Regions from separate parts of the Mus musculus genome. Here region 2 is reported to be linked to region 1. Evidence: microRNA targets listed by miRTarBase, many of them from high-throughput screens and not tested one by one. Region 1 holds a microRNA gene; the other region holds the end of a gene's coding sequence.

What was found. The annotated mature microRNA mmu-miR-1906 reads UGCAGCAGCCUGAGGCAGGGCU and lies in region 1 at 4,178-4,199, opposite strand. An mRNA with a match to its seed (bases 2 to 7 or 8) in the 3' UTR can be bound and repressed. Matches are read on the target gene's strand: a 7mer-m8 pairs with bases 2 to 8, a 7mer-A1 pairs with bases 2 to 7 and ends in A, and an 8mer does both.
Region 2: the mRNA of Spsb4 is a reported target of mmu-miR-1906. Seed matches in the 3' UTR shown: 7mer-m8 at 3,426-3,432, 7mer-m8 at 3,429-3,435, 7mer-m8 at 3,432-3,438, 7mer-m8 at 3,435-3,441 and 7mer-m8 at 3,438-3,444.

The regions. Positions count from the first base shown.
Region 1 is chrX:88,755,308-88,762,820 of GRCm38, forward strand. Mir1906-2 (microRNA 1906-2) reads right to left here and starts at 4,246; the gene lies at 4,167-4,246. It also overlaps the pseudogene Gm8876.
Region 2 is chr9:96,939,594-96,947,106 of GRCm38, reverse strand. It overlaps Spsb4 (splA/ryanodine receptor domain and SOCS box containing 4), which reads left to right. Exons shown (of 3, transcript NM_145134.3): 3 at 2,403-3,625. The coding sequence ends at 2,530. Among named protein-coding and RNA genes, the nearest start is that of Gm51657, 46 kb to the right of the region's middle.

The sequences.
Region 1 (7,513 bases):
GAAAGGGTACTGACAACCTAATGAGATGGCAGGGCAGAGGGTGAGGCTGTTCACAGTTTTAGTCTTTGGCAGAGCCCAACCAAGGCCAAATTCACCTAGGATGCCCAATGGCTGTAGGGATTTCCACAGGATCAAGGAAGCAAACCCAAATGAACATGTTGGATATATGTATATATCCTTGAAATAAAGAGCTTTGCCCTGAAAAGGGAGAGGGAAGTTTGAGGGAGGATCCATCTGATGAGCTCTGCTGCAGTGGCAGGACTGGCTTAGGAGTTTAGCCAAGGGTGCCGGGACACTCAGCATCAGTGGCTCTCTTCTCAGACATAAGCTGCAACATGGGCAGCAGGAAATCTGTGAAGCCGGCAGCCTCCTGAGGCCACTCATATTTCTCCACCAGAACCTCCAGAAGACCCCAAGGCTTCAACTTGGTGATGTGTTTCAGGTCACCTTTTTTGGTGAAAAATTCTTTGGAGTATTTTCCTGCCACAATGAGCTTGGGAGGCACCTTCCCTAGAAGTTCTATGATCCAGGCGATGTGGTCTTCATCTCATGTATAAATCCTCTCCTGAATGAGGCTCAAACAAATAGTCCCCTGTGCCTAATTCAAAGGCCATGCATGCTGTGCTCCAGATGTCAGCAGGGGTATTGTAGCCAGATCCTATTAGGACTTTCAAAGACCAAAACTGCCTTGTCTGGAAATCTTCTGTGAAATACTTGTGCACCTAGCAGGCACTCCCAAGGTCAGCAATCTTCACTTTGAGCTTCTCTGTATTTTTTGGCTCAAGGGGATTAATAAGAAAATTTCCAGCAGAGAATTTTCCTTTGCTTTCCAGTGCTCCATTGTGCTCCTGCTCATCCCCAGAAGGTGTATCTCCCTGAATGCTCTCCTGGAGGTGGGTGATGTCCTGTTCAGTGAGTGACTGTTCTACAGAGGACTGGCACACCATGGTCTCAGACACCTCAGAGGCCGTGGGTGTGCAAGTCTGGGTCTTGAGACGGACTGCTGTCTCCATTTGAAGAGTTTAGGAAACTAGTTTCCTGCTTCAAAGTGTGTACATCACAGTCATTAGCATTATGCAGATCCTCTTTAAGACTCAGTGTCTCATTATTAGTGTTCTCTGGGTAATTAATGATTCCAATCACTCCATTACAATTAATCTCTGGCGCACCACCCTCTCCAACATGCTCCGTGAGTGTCTGGTCCTGGCCAATGGAATTTGCCTCTTCAAGTTTCTCTTGGGTCATTTTATTGGGTGGGTTCTCTGTCAAGGGTCTTTCAACAGGACTCTGATTCTTCTTGCTTGTTAGGTCTTTTTTTGCCCAGGGCCAGACTCTTTCTTCCTGTCCTCAATTTCCTGCATTCACTTCTCTAGTAATTCTGCCTGGCGCTATATTTGTAAAGATGGATAACAGATATCAAAATTCATTGAGGTATGAGCATTTATTCCAAATTATCCATAGCTTACAATGTTTACATTTTAAAAAGATTCATGTTCTCTTCTCAGAAGCAACAGTTTTAATAGTAAACTCAAAGGTGGAGTAATGTTATCTTATGGAACTAATCCTTGGGTGACATGGAAGAAAATCCTTGAACATTTACATTATGATGGGAGTTTTTGGAGAGTAAACAAGAAAAGGGGATAACATTTGAAATGTAAATAAAGAAAATATCTAATAAAAAGTTTAAAAAAATGAATAAGTTGAGGCTGGAGAATTGGCTCAGTGCTTAACAGCTCATGCTACTCTTGTAGAGCCACATTTTGGTCCTTGATTACAAGATAAGGGCATGGAAATTAATGATCAGAATCTTAAAAGCATAATTATTTTTCTGTATATAAAGTAAGCCTGAAACAAATTGGGAAAAAATAGGGTTTAGTCCTGTACTGCATAAACATATTTTACATAACTACCAACTACATATGTTACATAATATCGCATTGTATAATGACAGTACAGTCATATTAGTTCGTATAAAGACACTATATTGTTTACATAATGACAAAATCAACATCACTTGAAGTTGTATCTCTCAGAACATAACCCTCTAATTGAGTAATATAAGATTGGAAACTTGTCATAACAAAAACACTCACAAAACCATACACCAACTATATTTAAGCCAATACTAAAAAATATATGAATGTGTAACCATTAAAGCAACTCTAGCCATTTGAAGCTATGCCATGAAAAATAAAGGTGGAAAACTTTTGCTCATAAGCTTCAAATATTGCATAGATGATAACAAGCACAAAAGATTTCTTTGATTGGTGGTTTAGTACCAGAGAGTTCTTGGAGTACTGGTTAGTTCATGTTGTTTTTCGTGTCTCTAGCTGCATATGTAGCAGAGGATAGCCTAGTTGGTCATCAATGGGAGGAGAGGCCCTTGGTCCTTTAAAGATTCTATGCCCTGGTATAGAGGAATGCCAGGGCCAGGAAGAGGGAGTGGATGAGTTGTGGAGCAGGGGAAGGGGGGGAGGTGATAAGGGATTTTCAGAGGGAAAACTAGGAAAGAGGATAACATTTGAAATGTAAATAAAGAATACATATATAAACAAGCACAAAAGATCCTTCTAGAGGGCAGGGATAGGTGCCACCATAAAAAGTAGAGAAAAGAAAATACTCTAAGAAAACACATCCGTAGGTCATGGCTTTCAGCACTATGATATGCTATGACATTTTTACAGTCCCTGTTTTATAAGGTTTGAACCTGGGTATGAATTGTCATTTGTATTAAGCCTTTCCTCCTTTTAAACAAAAGATTACATTTAATTACTCCATTTATATTCTAACATTTAATAACAAGTAAGCAGAAGTCAAATAGTTTGCTTGAAATAACAAGTGTATGAATCTCAGGGAGATAATGACCAATAATGTGAGATGTTTAGATTTTGACACATAGTGATTATAGTACATTGATAAATAATTCCATTTTGATGAGTATTGGGATTATTCCTCAACTATATACATGACTAATTTCTAATATGATTGCAAAAGCTTTTCCATTTATTATAGCAGATTGCTATTCCTAAACTATGAATTCGAGCCTTTAAAATTATTTTAAACATACTAAGTGCTTTTATTCATTTAAAATGTATAAGTTATAAGGAAAATCTGTGAAAGTTTGCAATAGCCATAATTTCTCATAAGTCTCACAATGAAATAGTCGTATCCTTAATCACCACTTGAGAGTGCATCATTGTACTATTTTCTTCTTCTTCTTCTTCTTCTTCTTCTTCTTCTTCTTCTTCTTCTTCTTCTTCTTCTTCTTCTTCTTCTTCTTCTTCTTCTTCCTCTTCTTCTTCTTCTTCTTTTAAATGTTCCTTAATAATACAGAGAATATATTTTTGTCATAACATTTCAAAACTTCAAATTCCTCCCAGATATTCTTACTCTCCCTACAAACCCAATTTCATGCTCTGTCTCTTAAAAAATTACCACAAAAAATACCACAAAACAGGGAGTCAAATTTGGTTTGGCAAATTACTTTTGAGCATGGATACAGTACACAAATGTGGTTGATATACCCAGTGTCACTCCAGTGAAGAAAACTGATTTTCTTTGTCATAGCAGCTATCTGTAGCAAATAACTTTTTGTTTAGGAGCATTGCTTTATGCCCCCCTTCTCTCCTCCATGCTTTGATTTTGTCTGCCTGAGCTTCTTTATGCTCTCACAAACTCAGTGAGATCACTTATGATGTGCATCTGCCCTGTTATATCTGAAAACACTATTTACTTAACATTGCCTGACAACTCTAGCTCTTAAAATCTTCTGCATAGATTCCTGAATGTTAGGGTTTCCCCTAACATTCAGTGATCTATGCATTCAGGTGTGATAAAGATATGAATATCACACTAAGGGCTAAGCACTCAAAAATCTCCCACTGTCTGATCTATGTTACCCATTTGTAAGTCTCCGTGTTAATAACAATCTATTTTAAGAAGTTTCTCTGATGAAATTTGAACATTACACTGATCCATGGGTATAGAAATACATTATTAAGGTTCTTTTTATTACTGTACTCATTTATTAAATTAATAGTAAAAGAATTTTCCTCTAACCACTATAATCTACTTAGTCAAATGCTCTTGGCATCATGGAGTGGGCCTTAAATCAAATAGAATATATATTTGATTATTTTTCTTTTTTTTTTTTTTTTTTTTTTTGAGGTCTCTGCCCAGCCCTGCCTCAGGCTGCTGCAGTTCATTTAATTCTCACAACAACCCTAGGAGGTTGCTCCTAATGTCCCCACTACCCCAAAAGGGACATCTCCGAGAAGGTGGGTGGAGGAGGGGGAGGGGACATGCCTTGGGGGGTCAGCCACGTGCTCATTCCAGAAGGAAGCACCCCACCCCACCCCACCCACGGAGTTGCCAGCAAGATGCTGGTCGCCCCTGACCCGGGTCCCCCTCCTGAGAGGTTCCCAAAGGGACCCTTTTGCTCAGGACATTGTTAGGACAGCATGATCAGTCACAAGGGACGACCCTCCTCGGGGAGGGCAGCACTCCAGTTCACTAGCAGATGAACACGAGCACAGATGTACAGGAAAGGGCTCAGACTCAAGACACAAGCAGAGCAAAGGTCAAGGGCCATGGCCAGTGCCCCCTCACTAGGGCACTGGTTCAAGGTTTGAACCCCAGAGAAACTAGCTGGCCACTGATGATCCTCTTTGTCGCTTGTCCCTCGCTGTCCTGATCCCAGGGGGGTCCACAAGGAGTTGCTCTGTATGGTAGTGGGTTCCTGGAATCCGTGCTCCTTGGCTAGGCCATATAACATGCAGGCAACTTGAGGGAGTGGCTGGGGTACCAGGAGGTAGAGGTGCACAGCAGGTACTCGAGCAGCAGCTTTGGCATCCAGAAGGTGGTCCTGGAAGACTGGTGTGAGCCGATGATGTCATCCCTGAAGAGAGAGCCAGGTAAGAGATTCTTCTGTGGGCGCCCCGGGTTTCTGGAAGAGCTGCAGCCAAGGCCAGCAGAGCCGAGGCGAGCTCTATTCCAGCTCTTCGTCTTCTGTCTTGATTATTTTTCTAATGTTCATAAAACTACTGCACCAGTAGGAATTCAATGTTTTCTTGTTGTTCTCTCATTTTATTTTCTTTGTTTGCACTTGAATCCCAGTGTGTCTATGTAATCAACTTGAATGATATTGATATGAAAATGATTTGTTCCATTTAAGACAAGATAATGCTCTGTTTTAATCAAGAACAGGAAAAGGTACTTTATTTATTTATTTATTTATTTATTTATTTATTTATTTATATGCACATGCTTATTCCTGTGTGGCCTTGAGTGAATACCACTCTGAATGTGTGAAGTGTTTTGCAAGTCGGGGAGGTGTGTTCTTTCCTCTTGAACAGGATATTCTCGTGGTAGTGAATAGGTCAATTTTCTAAGTGTTTATGAAATGTTGCTTACCATGGGACAAAAAGAAACAGGTAATCTGGATACAGAGCTACATATAAGTTTTGGATTGTTTATTTTGTGTAGAGTTTTAAAATAATATCATTGAGAATCATTCTAAATATTTCATTTTGTTGCTTGACAAAATATGTTATTCCTACATATTGTCGTATTTCCTCATGGAATAATTTTTTTCCTGAAGAAAAACATTTAATATTTGCTTTATTGCTAATCTCTAGAATCATCCTCTCCTAAATATCTGAAAATCATTTTAGTTATTTTAAATTACTGTATTTATACATAATTTAACTGTATTTGTTATCATTCTTCAGAATTTTAAATAGTTCTATTTTCTTTCCTTTATTGCTCTGTTCCTGTAAGAAAGAAAGCTCAGACTTATTAATTTTTTGTTTTTGTTTTTGTTTTTGTTTTTGTTTTTTTTAAGTAACTGTTTTCAGTATTATCCTTTATGGTCTTCTGTATTATCTGTGTGGCATAACTTATATTTCCTTCTGTTAGATTCATAAATATTTGGAATTAGAAATATCTTAAGTCGCTTTGAGAACATTTTCCCAACTATTTTAAATATCCTTCTTGCTCCATTTTATCACACCTATCATTTAGACTTTAAAGATCTTCCCTCTACACACAGGATGTAATCACATGGGGAGAGACCAAACACTTCCCAGTTTGACTTTACCTTTTTTCTATGATAAAATAATTGACCTTAATGTCCTAAACGCCCCCCCACGTTTGTACTCTACCTATTTATTATTCTTTCTTTTTTTTTTTCTTTTCAAGATTTTTTCCCCTCTATTCTTTTATTTTTCTTTTTTTTTTTTAATTTTTATTAGGTATTTTCCTCATTTACATTTCCAATGCTATCCCAAAAGTCCCCCATACCCCCCCCCACTCCCCTACCCACCCACTCCCACTTTTTGGCCCTGGCATTCCCCTGTACTGGGGCATATAAAGTTTGCAAGTTCAATGGGCCTCTCTTTCCACTGATGGCCGAATAGGCCATCTTTTGATACATATGCAGCTAGAGTCAAGAGCTCAGGGATACTGGTTAGTTCATAATGTTGTTCCACTCTAGGGATGCAGATCCCTTTAGCTCCTTGGGTACTTTCCCTAGCTTCTCAATTGGGAGCGCTGTGATCCATCCACTAGCTGACTGTGAGCATCCACTTCTGTGTTTGCTAGGCCCCTGCATAGTCTCACAGGAGAGAGCTATATCTGTGTTATTTCAGCAAAATCTTGCTAGTGTGTGCAATGGTGTCAGCGTTTGGAAGCTGATTATGGGATGGATCCCCAGATATGGCAGTATCTAGATGGTCCATCCTTTCGTCACAGCTCCAAACATTTTCTCTGTAACTCCTTCCATGTGTGTTTTGTTCCCAATTCTAAGAAGGGGCAAAGTGTCCACACTTTGGTCTTCGTTCTTCTTGAGTTTCATGCGTTTAGCAAAATGTATCTTATATCTTGGGTATCCTAGTTTCTGGGCTAATATCCACTTATCAGTGAGTACATATTGTGTGAGTTCCTTTGTGATTGGGTTACCACACTCAGTATGATGCCCTCCAGGTCCATCCATTTGCCTAGGAATTTCATAAATTCATTCTTTTTAATAGCTGAGTAGTACTCCATTGTGTAGATGTACCATATTTTCTGTATCCATTCCTCTGTTGAGGGGCATCTGGGTTCTTTCCAGCTTCTGGCTATTATAAATAAGGCTGCTATGAACATAGTGGAGGATGTGTCCTTCTTACCAGTTGGGACATCTTCTGGATATATGCCCAAGAGAGGTATTGCGGGATCCTCTGGTATTACTATGTCCAATTATCTGAGGAACCACCAGACTGATTTCCAGAGTGCTTGTATAAGCTTGCAATCCCACCAACAATGGAGGAGTGTTCCTCTTTCTCCACATCCACGCCAGCATCTGCTGTCACCTGAATTTTTGATCTTAGCCATTCTGACTGGTGTGAGGTGGAATCTCAGGGTTGTTTTGATTTGCATTTCCCTGATGATTAAGGATGTTGAACATTTTTTCAGGTGCTTCTCTGCCATTCGATATTCCTCAGGTGAGAATTTTTTGTTCAGCTCTGAGCCCCAA
Region 2 (7,513 bases), not on the chromosome of region 1:
TGAGATACATTCACCCTTGCAACAGGCCAAGCAGAAGCTCAGTAAACATGGGTGAGATAGAAGATAAATTCCCACTTCTGGTTCCAGGGGTTTGAGTCCTGGTTTTTCTACTTACCAGCTGTGCATCCTTAGGTAGATGGCTTGTGTACTCTCTTTCAGACTTTTCCTCCTTAAAATAGAGATGATAATGATATTTATTGGCCCCGGGGGTTGTTATGAGTTTTTGATACATGCATTTGCATGAATTGAGCCCCCCAAAAGAACGTGTGTGTGTGTGTGTGTGTGTGTGTGTGTGTGTGTGTGTGTGTGTGTGCGCGCGCGCCGGGCAGGGCAGGTTGGGATACACGGCTGGCATTCCCTGGGTAGCCTCCTTTTGTATGAGAATCAAAAGATAAGAGGAGAAAGTGAAGCTACTAGCCTGCGGTCTGGCCTCAGCAAAGGACAGCAAGATGTGGCCTTGGATGTATTATCTGGCCCTCATGAGAGTCCCACTTGGATTCCGGTGGTGGCCCATTAGAACTGCACCTCTCGAAGAAGTTCCCTCGAACCCCAGCTGCCATTGCTCGCCCCTCCCTCCTGATACCATTCCCACACAGCGGACCATTTGTGTTTGCTCCTTATAATTTGACCACAATCCTACGTACTCTGTTGCCAAAAGAATGCTTAGAACCAGGCAGTGGTGGCACACGCCTTTAATCCCAGCACTTGGGAAGGCAGAGGCAGGTGGATTTCTGAGTTCGAGGCCAATCTGATCTACAGAGTGAGTTCCAGGACATCCAGGATTATACAGAGAAACCCTGTCTTGAAAAATAAAAAAAAAAGAAAGAAAAGAAAAGAAAAGAAAAGAAAAGAAAAGAAAAGAAAAGAAAAGAAAAGAAAGGATGCTTAGCTGTAGCGCAAAACATCGAGGCCATATGTCAGTCACAGGTGAATAGGACCACTGTCATCTTCTTTCTCCACTGGTCTGTTTCAGCTACCAGCCCTGTCCCTGCCCTCAGCTTCCCTGTCTCCCTGATCCCTGATCCCTGTCTGTTTTCTCTACTTGTAACACTGCCCAGCCTCAGTGTGCCTATAACACTCCTACCCATACTTCAAAACCCTATTCAGGTTTCTCTCCTCGAAGCTTTCAGGAAGCTGCCTAGTTTCTGTCCCTTTGCGCTCAGAATTCTTTCCTATATTAACACTTTTAAAATAATTCACTTGCTGGGGCTGGAGAGATGGCTCAGAGGCTAAGAGGCTGCTCTTCCAAAGGACTAGGGGTTCAACTCCCAGAACCAACATGGTGGCTCCTAACCACCTGTATGTAACTTCTGTTTCAGGGGATCCGACACCCTCTTCTGGCCTCTTTGGGCACAAGGCTAACAAATGATACACAGATATACATGCAAGCAGAGCACCATGCATGCAAAATTAAAAACAAAAACAAAACCATTCATTCACTTAAAAATCTTAGGTCATAAGGAAATCCCAGACCACAAGCTCACCTCCAGGGCTGGCTCTGGCCCTGGCTGAGTTGTCTCTGTATCCCTAGGATTACCACAGGAAATGAAAGAGGAAAGAATTAATATGTGTATCTGCAGTGAGCTGGTGTAACTCAGTAAACTGTCCTGTATCGAGAGGTGCCAGCGCACCACAGTGGGCGTATGGAGGTCAGAGGGCCACTTTGGGGAATGGGTTCGCTCCTACCATGTTGAGTCAGAGTCTCATCTGTTTTCCATCTCTACACTGGTGTGCTGGGCTTACAGATGCCCGCAGCTGCATCTGGATTTTTTAAGTGGCTTCTGGTGCTCACTGTCAGGTTATCAGGCTTGTGTGGGGAGCACTTTTATCCCTCGAGCCACCTTCCAGGTCCCTGGTGGATTTTAACTTACCTCCCTTCCCCCGTCCCCCAGAACTTGAGTGCTGTAAGAAAATGTGTCCTTCCATTGCCCATCATAAACACTGGAGGGAAAGCGTGTGGGTTTGAAAGAATCTCAATAGCCTGGTGGAATCTAACCTGTCTGCTTGCTTGTTTTGAGACGGGATCTGGCTGTGTTGCCCAGGCTGGTATTGAACTTCTGGGCTCAAATGATCCTTCCGCCTCAGCCTCCTGAGTACCCTGAGATAAATCATCCTAAACGTTTTGAGCCACACATTCTACATCAGAACTTACCCTGGCAGTGGATAACTTTGTTTCCACTATTCATCTTTAAATACCACTATTTAGCGGTTGTTCTAAACGTTATAGTCTGAGCAGCTGCAGCTGCCTTTCATAATCATTGCTGAGTGCCTCTTACTGCAAGCAGGGATGGCTCTTCAGTAGCAGGGAGCACTGAGCCAGCTCAGGGGCAAGGGTAGGCAGCAGGCAAGCTAGGCGGAGTGAGGAGGTGTGGGCACTCACGCTTGCTTCACTGTCTTTGCAGCTGAGCCTCTGCCGCTGATGGACCTGTGCCGGCGATCCATCCGCTCAGCCCTGGGCCGACAGCGCCTGCGTGACATCGGCTCCCTGCCCCTGCCTCAGTCTCTGAAAAACTACCTGCAGTACCAGTGAGCGGCGCTGAGGATCGGCTGTCATCTGTGGTCACACAGCTCCAGAGCGTCAGGACACATCAGTGACTTGGAAAAGGAATGCCTGTTGCCATTGCTGCCACCGACCAGGACCAGGAGGCCACCTCGTGAACCAGAGTGTAGAGACCATTATCTTCCTCAAGAGAATGAATAAAACATTGGGCAGGAGACGGCATCCAGTTAGTTCCCCACTGCAGACAGACCCAGGAAAATTGGCCAGTGGAGAGAAAATGGGTTCTGAATAATGAATGACAGAAGCCAGCCCTTGATGGTCTCCTCCACGCCTGCCCCTGGCCAGGGCAGAGAGACTGTCCTCCATTTTAAGACTTGGTACCACTTTGAGAGATGAGTCCAGGGTCCCACAGCAGGGCAAAAGCACCTGGCCTTACCTCTCTGAGCCGGTTTCCTCATCCCCTCCTGCCCTCTTCCGTCATGGATAAAGTTCTTTGGCCATTCCCCTCCCCACTTTATTCAGGGACATGAATCTGATGACTTGCCCTGGGGACAGAGTTTCTTCTTGGGTATGATCATTGTAAGTAGTGTTTGCATTTTTTTTTTTTGAAAGAGGAGTGTGGTGAAGGTGGCTTTCTCCCAAAGGTGCTAAGGAAGATGGGGCCCTCGTGACACCAAGTCTGAGACACCCTGAGTATCCAGGGCTCTGGCAGCCATCATTCAGGGTGAAGCCTGGCTGTCACAAAGCTTTCTTTGAGCAAATTATTTTTTCACTGTAGGAGACTTCCAGTTTGTTTCTCGTTTCCAATATGTGTGTGATGCACCGTTTATTTATCAGCTGGGGCCCCGCGGTGTGGCCTTGGGACTGCAAAGGTGGGTATAACAGTCTCTGCAGGACCTGAGACCTATCCTCTCACAGAATGTTGCTGCTGCTGCTGCTGCTGCCGCCAGCGCCACCATTTGGCATCTTTTGTGTGTTCCAAGATACCCTCCACCCAGACTCAGTTTTAACTGGAAATCATCACAGAGTAGGATACAGAGCCAGACAGTGCAGCCTACACTGTAATGTGAATGTGACCTACAAGCAAGGAACATTTCTAATAAAAGTTTGTCATTCTGTCCTTCAGCTGTGTGTAAAGTGCTCTATCCATCATCCTCCCTGGTCTGTCCCCAGATCCACAGACATCAAACCTGGGAGTGCCTCTCTGTACACACACACACACACACACACACACAAACGTCCACATTCGAACCCCAACCACAGAGATGTAGAGACCCGATCTGGAAGACACTCTGTCCCCAGGATCTTCAAAGACTCCTATAAGCCCTGATGCTGAAGCCTTAGATGTTCAAGGTGACCAGAGTCAGTCAGGGTAAACCCAAGACCTGGCTCTGGGGCTGAATGCAGTTGGCCACCAGGGAGCAGTGCTGGTTGCTGCAGAGCAAATGAGGCAGAGTTAAGCTGAGCTCTGCTGGGGCTGGTAGCAGGTTAGCAGTTAGGGACAGGAAGGGGACTATGTCAGGACCAGTACAGGATTCACTTAGCAGCATCAGCCACCCATATACCACACCACACCAGACTCTAGGGCAGTGTCAGACTGATGTCTCTGTCCTGGGTGGGGACATTTACAGTTTGTTGTAAGACCTTGAGGAACTCAGCAGGAGGAGGAGGGGAGGGGAAGAGACAATTTCTTGTGATCAGAAGAGCGAATATGAGACACACGTTGTCTGCCCACCCTGAGGCTGGAGACAGGATAGGAATGGCGTCTCCAGGCTGCAGGCTCTAAGCACCTGCCTGGCCACTGACTGACTCAGCTGCCAAAGCGTTCAGTTGTTGTGGTTGCTAAAAGCAGCTTCCGGGAGAGGCACAAGCTTGGGCACTGGTCGGGAAGCCTGGGTTGGGGTTCAGGCTTCCTTGTTTATACACAGTCACCTTGGGTAAGTCACTTTCCCCTCTGGGCACAAGGAGCTTGACCAGGTAGCCAGTGACTGACTAAGGACCGTCCCTCTCCCAGCCTCTAGGGTCCAAGTTTCAGCACCACTTTCCATTTTGGAAGAAGCCCTTTTGTCTCAGCTCCTAAGCTTCGTGGCTTCTCTCATTCTAACAGTGCCTTCCCTCCCTCACTTCACCCTCTCATGATTAATGAGATCAGCCTTCATCTAGACACCCCATAACCACCCACCAGTGTCTTCCTGCTCTGAGCTATCAGTTCTGAGCATGTATCTCCCGGCACCAAGGACCCTATTCTGAGCACTTGTATTGGGTCCTATCTGCCCTTAGCCTCATGGATCCAGCAGGCTGTGGGTCTCTGGAGGGCTGGGCCGGTGCCTATACCTACAACAGCCTCGTAGGTCAGACACATCAGCTCTGCAAAGGCCTGTAGAGGAGCGGGACAGATAGAATGTCCTCTGCAAACTGGGACACCCAGAGGAAACTGCAAGGGAAGAGCTCAAGTAGCTCAAGTAGGGATGAGGTCCTCCCAGAGCTGAGGACCGACCCCTAAGTTCTCCTAAGCTCCCTGTCCTCTCGTGACCATACCTACAGCACTATCCTGAAATGACTGAGTCCTGGCCCAGCTTTGCCAGACCTCACAGTCTAAGGGGGAGATAAAGATGGCCCCCAAGCAAAGAAGCAGCATGGTGTTCGAGGGGATGATGGGGTGAGGTGGGGGCTAGGAGTCAGGCTACAGAAAGCCACTGGGGAGTTAGGTACTGAGTCCTGACAAGGAGCTAGACAGGTGAGAGGAGGCAGAACATTCATACACATGCTTTAAAAAACAAACAAACAAACAAAAAACTTGAAAAAATGTTGGATACAGCAGCAATGGATAGGAGACAAAACCACATCCAGCTATCTTTCCATAAACTACAATCGTTGTCTGTTAGCTGTCCTGTGTGAAGTATCCTGGGGTGCTGCTTCTGCACATCTCCCTGTCCATGATGGCCTCAGGCCCAGAGGAGAGCACCCTAGCCTGCTATGCTGTGGCTGGAGGCAGCTCCCTGGTTCTAACAGGCTCCAGGCCAGCACTGTGGCCCTGGCCTTTCCATCATGGCTGCTAAACAGAGCCCAGGCTAGATCAACAGTCTCTATCTCCAATGCATTTTCTTTTAGGGAAGAAAGGTACACATATTCTGAGGGGATAAGTGTGCAGCCTAAGACAATCGCATCCTCCTTCACCTGCACGGTGTTATTCTTCCTGTCTTCGGTGAAGTGTTGCTCAGGCGTTGAGCTTACAAGGAATGTCCTACACATAATCACCTACAAAATTCATGCTCCAGGATCATACAACTGGGGGGGTTTTATATAGTAAAAACACAATGTTTAAGTAAGTTCTCACATTTGTGTTGGGCCACATTCATAACTGCCTTTGGTCACATGTGGCCTGCAGTCTGCAGGCTGGACACGCATGGGACACACGCGGGAGTCTAGAGCACCATTGGCACAGCGTTTGCTTTCTGAGAACTTTGACTCTAAGGACTCAGGCTGGTTCCACATGAGCCTTGCCACATTTGCCTCCGAGTGACCCTGGACAGACCCTTTTCCTCCTTGCTCTTTTATCTGCAGTATGTCACAAGCACAATCCATATGCCAGCCTAAAGTCCTCAGATCTGTCATATCCTTTCCTGCCTTGTAAAGATTACGCTTTATCAGAGAGCTCAGCAGACTCATTAGCACTCTGGTGGTCGACCTGAGAATGGCCCCCAGAGGCTCATATATTTGAATACGTGGTTTCTAGTTGGTGGAACTGTTTGGGAAGGATTAGGGGTGTGGCTTTATTAGAGAAGGAATGTCAGTAGGAGTGGCCTTTGAGCTTTCTTCTCTCTCTCTCTCTCTCTCTCTCTCTAATTAGATATTTTCTTTATTTCCATTTCAAATTTTATCCCCTTTCCTCATTTCACTTCCGAAAACCCCCCATCCCATCCCCCCTCCCCCTGCTCACTAACCCACCTACTCCTGCTTCCTTGTCCTGGCATTCCCCTACACTGGGGCATAGAGCCTTCACAAGACCAAGGGCCTCTCCTCTCATTCATGTCCCACAGGACCATCCTCTGCTACATATGCAGCTGGAGCCTTGAATCCCTCCATGTGTATACTTTGGTTGGTGATTTAGTTCCTGGGAGCTCTGGGGGTACTGGTTGGTTCATATTGTTGTTCCTCCTATGGCACTGTAAACCCCTTCAGCTCCTTGGGTCCCTTCTCTAGCTTCTCCATTGGGGACCCTGTGCTCAGTCCAATGGATGGCTGTGAGCATCCACTTCTGTATTTGTCAGGCACTGGCAGAGCCTCTCAGGAGACAGCTATATCAGGTGCTTGTCAGCAAGCTCTTCTTGGCATCCACAATAGTGTCTGGGTTTGGTAACTGTATATGAGATGGATCCTTAGGTGGGACAGTCTCTGGATGGCCTTTCCTTCAGTTTCTGCTCCAAACTTTGTCTCTGTATCTCCTCCCATGGGTATTTTGATCCCCCTTCTAAGAAGGACCAAAGTATTCACACTGTGGTCTTCCTTCTTGAGCTTCATGTGGTCTGTGAATTTTATCTTAGGTATTCCAAACTTCTGGGCTAATATCCACTTATCAGTGAGTACATACCATGTGTGTTCTTTTGTGATTGGGTTACCTCACTCAAGATGATATTTTCTAGTTCCATCCACTTGCCTAAGAACTTAATAGCTGAGTAGTATTCCATTGTGTAAATGTACCACATTTTCTGTACCCATTCCTCTGTTGAAAGATATCTGGGTGCTTTCCAGCTTCTGGCTATTATAAATAAGGCTGCTATGAACATAGTGGAGCATGCGTCCTTATTACATGTTGGAGCATCTTCTGGGTATATGCCCAGGAGTAGTATATCTGGGTCCTCAGTACTGAATGGCTGAGAAGCACCTAAAGAAATGTTCAACATCCTTAGTCATCAGGGAAATGCAAAACAACCCTGAGATTCCACCTCACACCAGTCAAAATGGCTAAGATCAAAAACTCAGTTGACAGAGGATGCTGTCGAGGATGTAGAG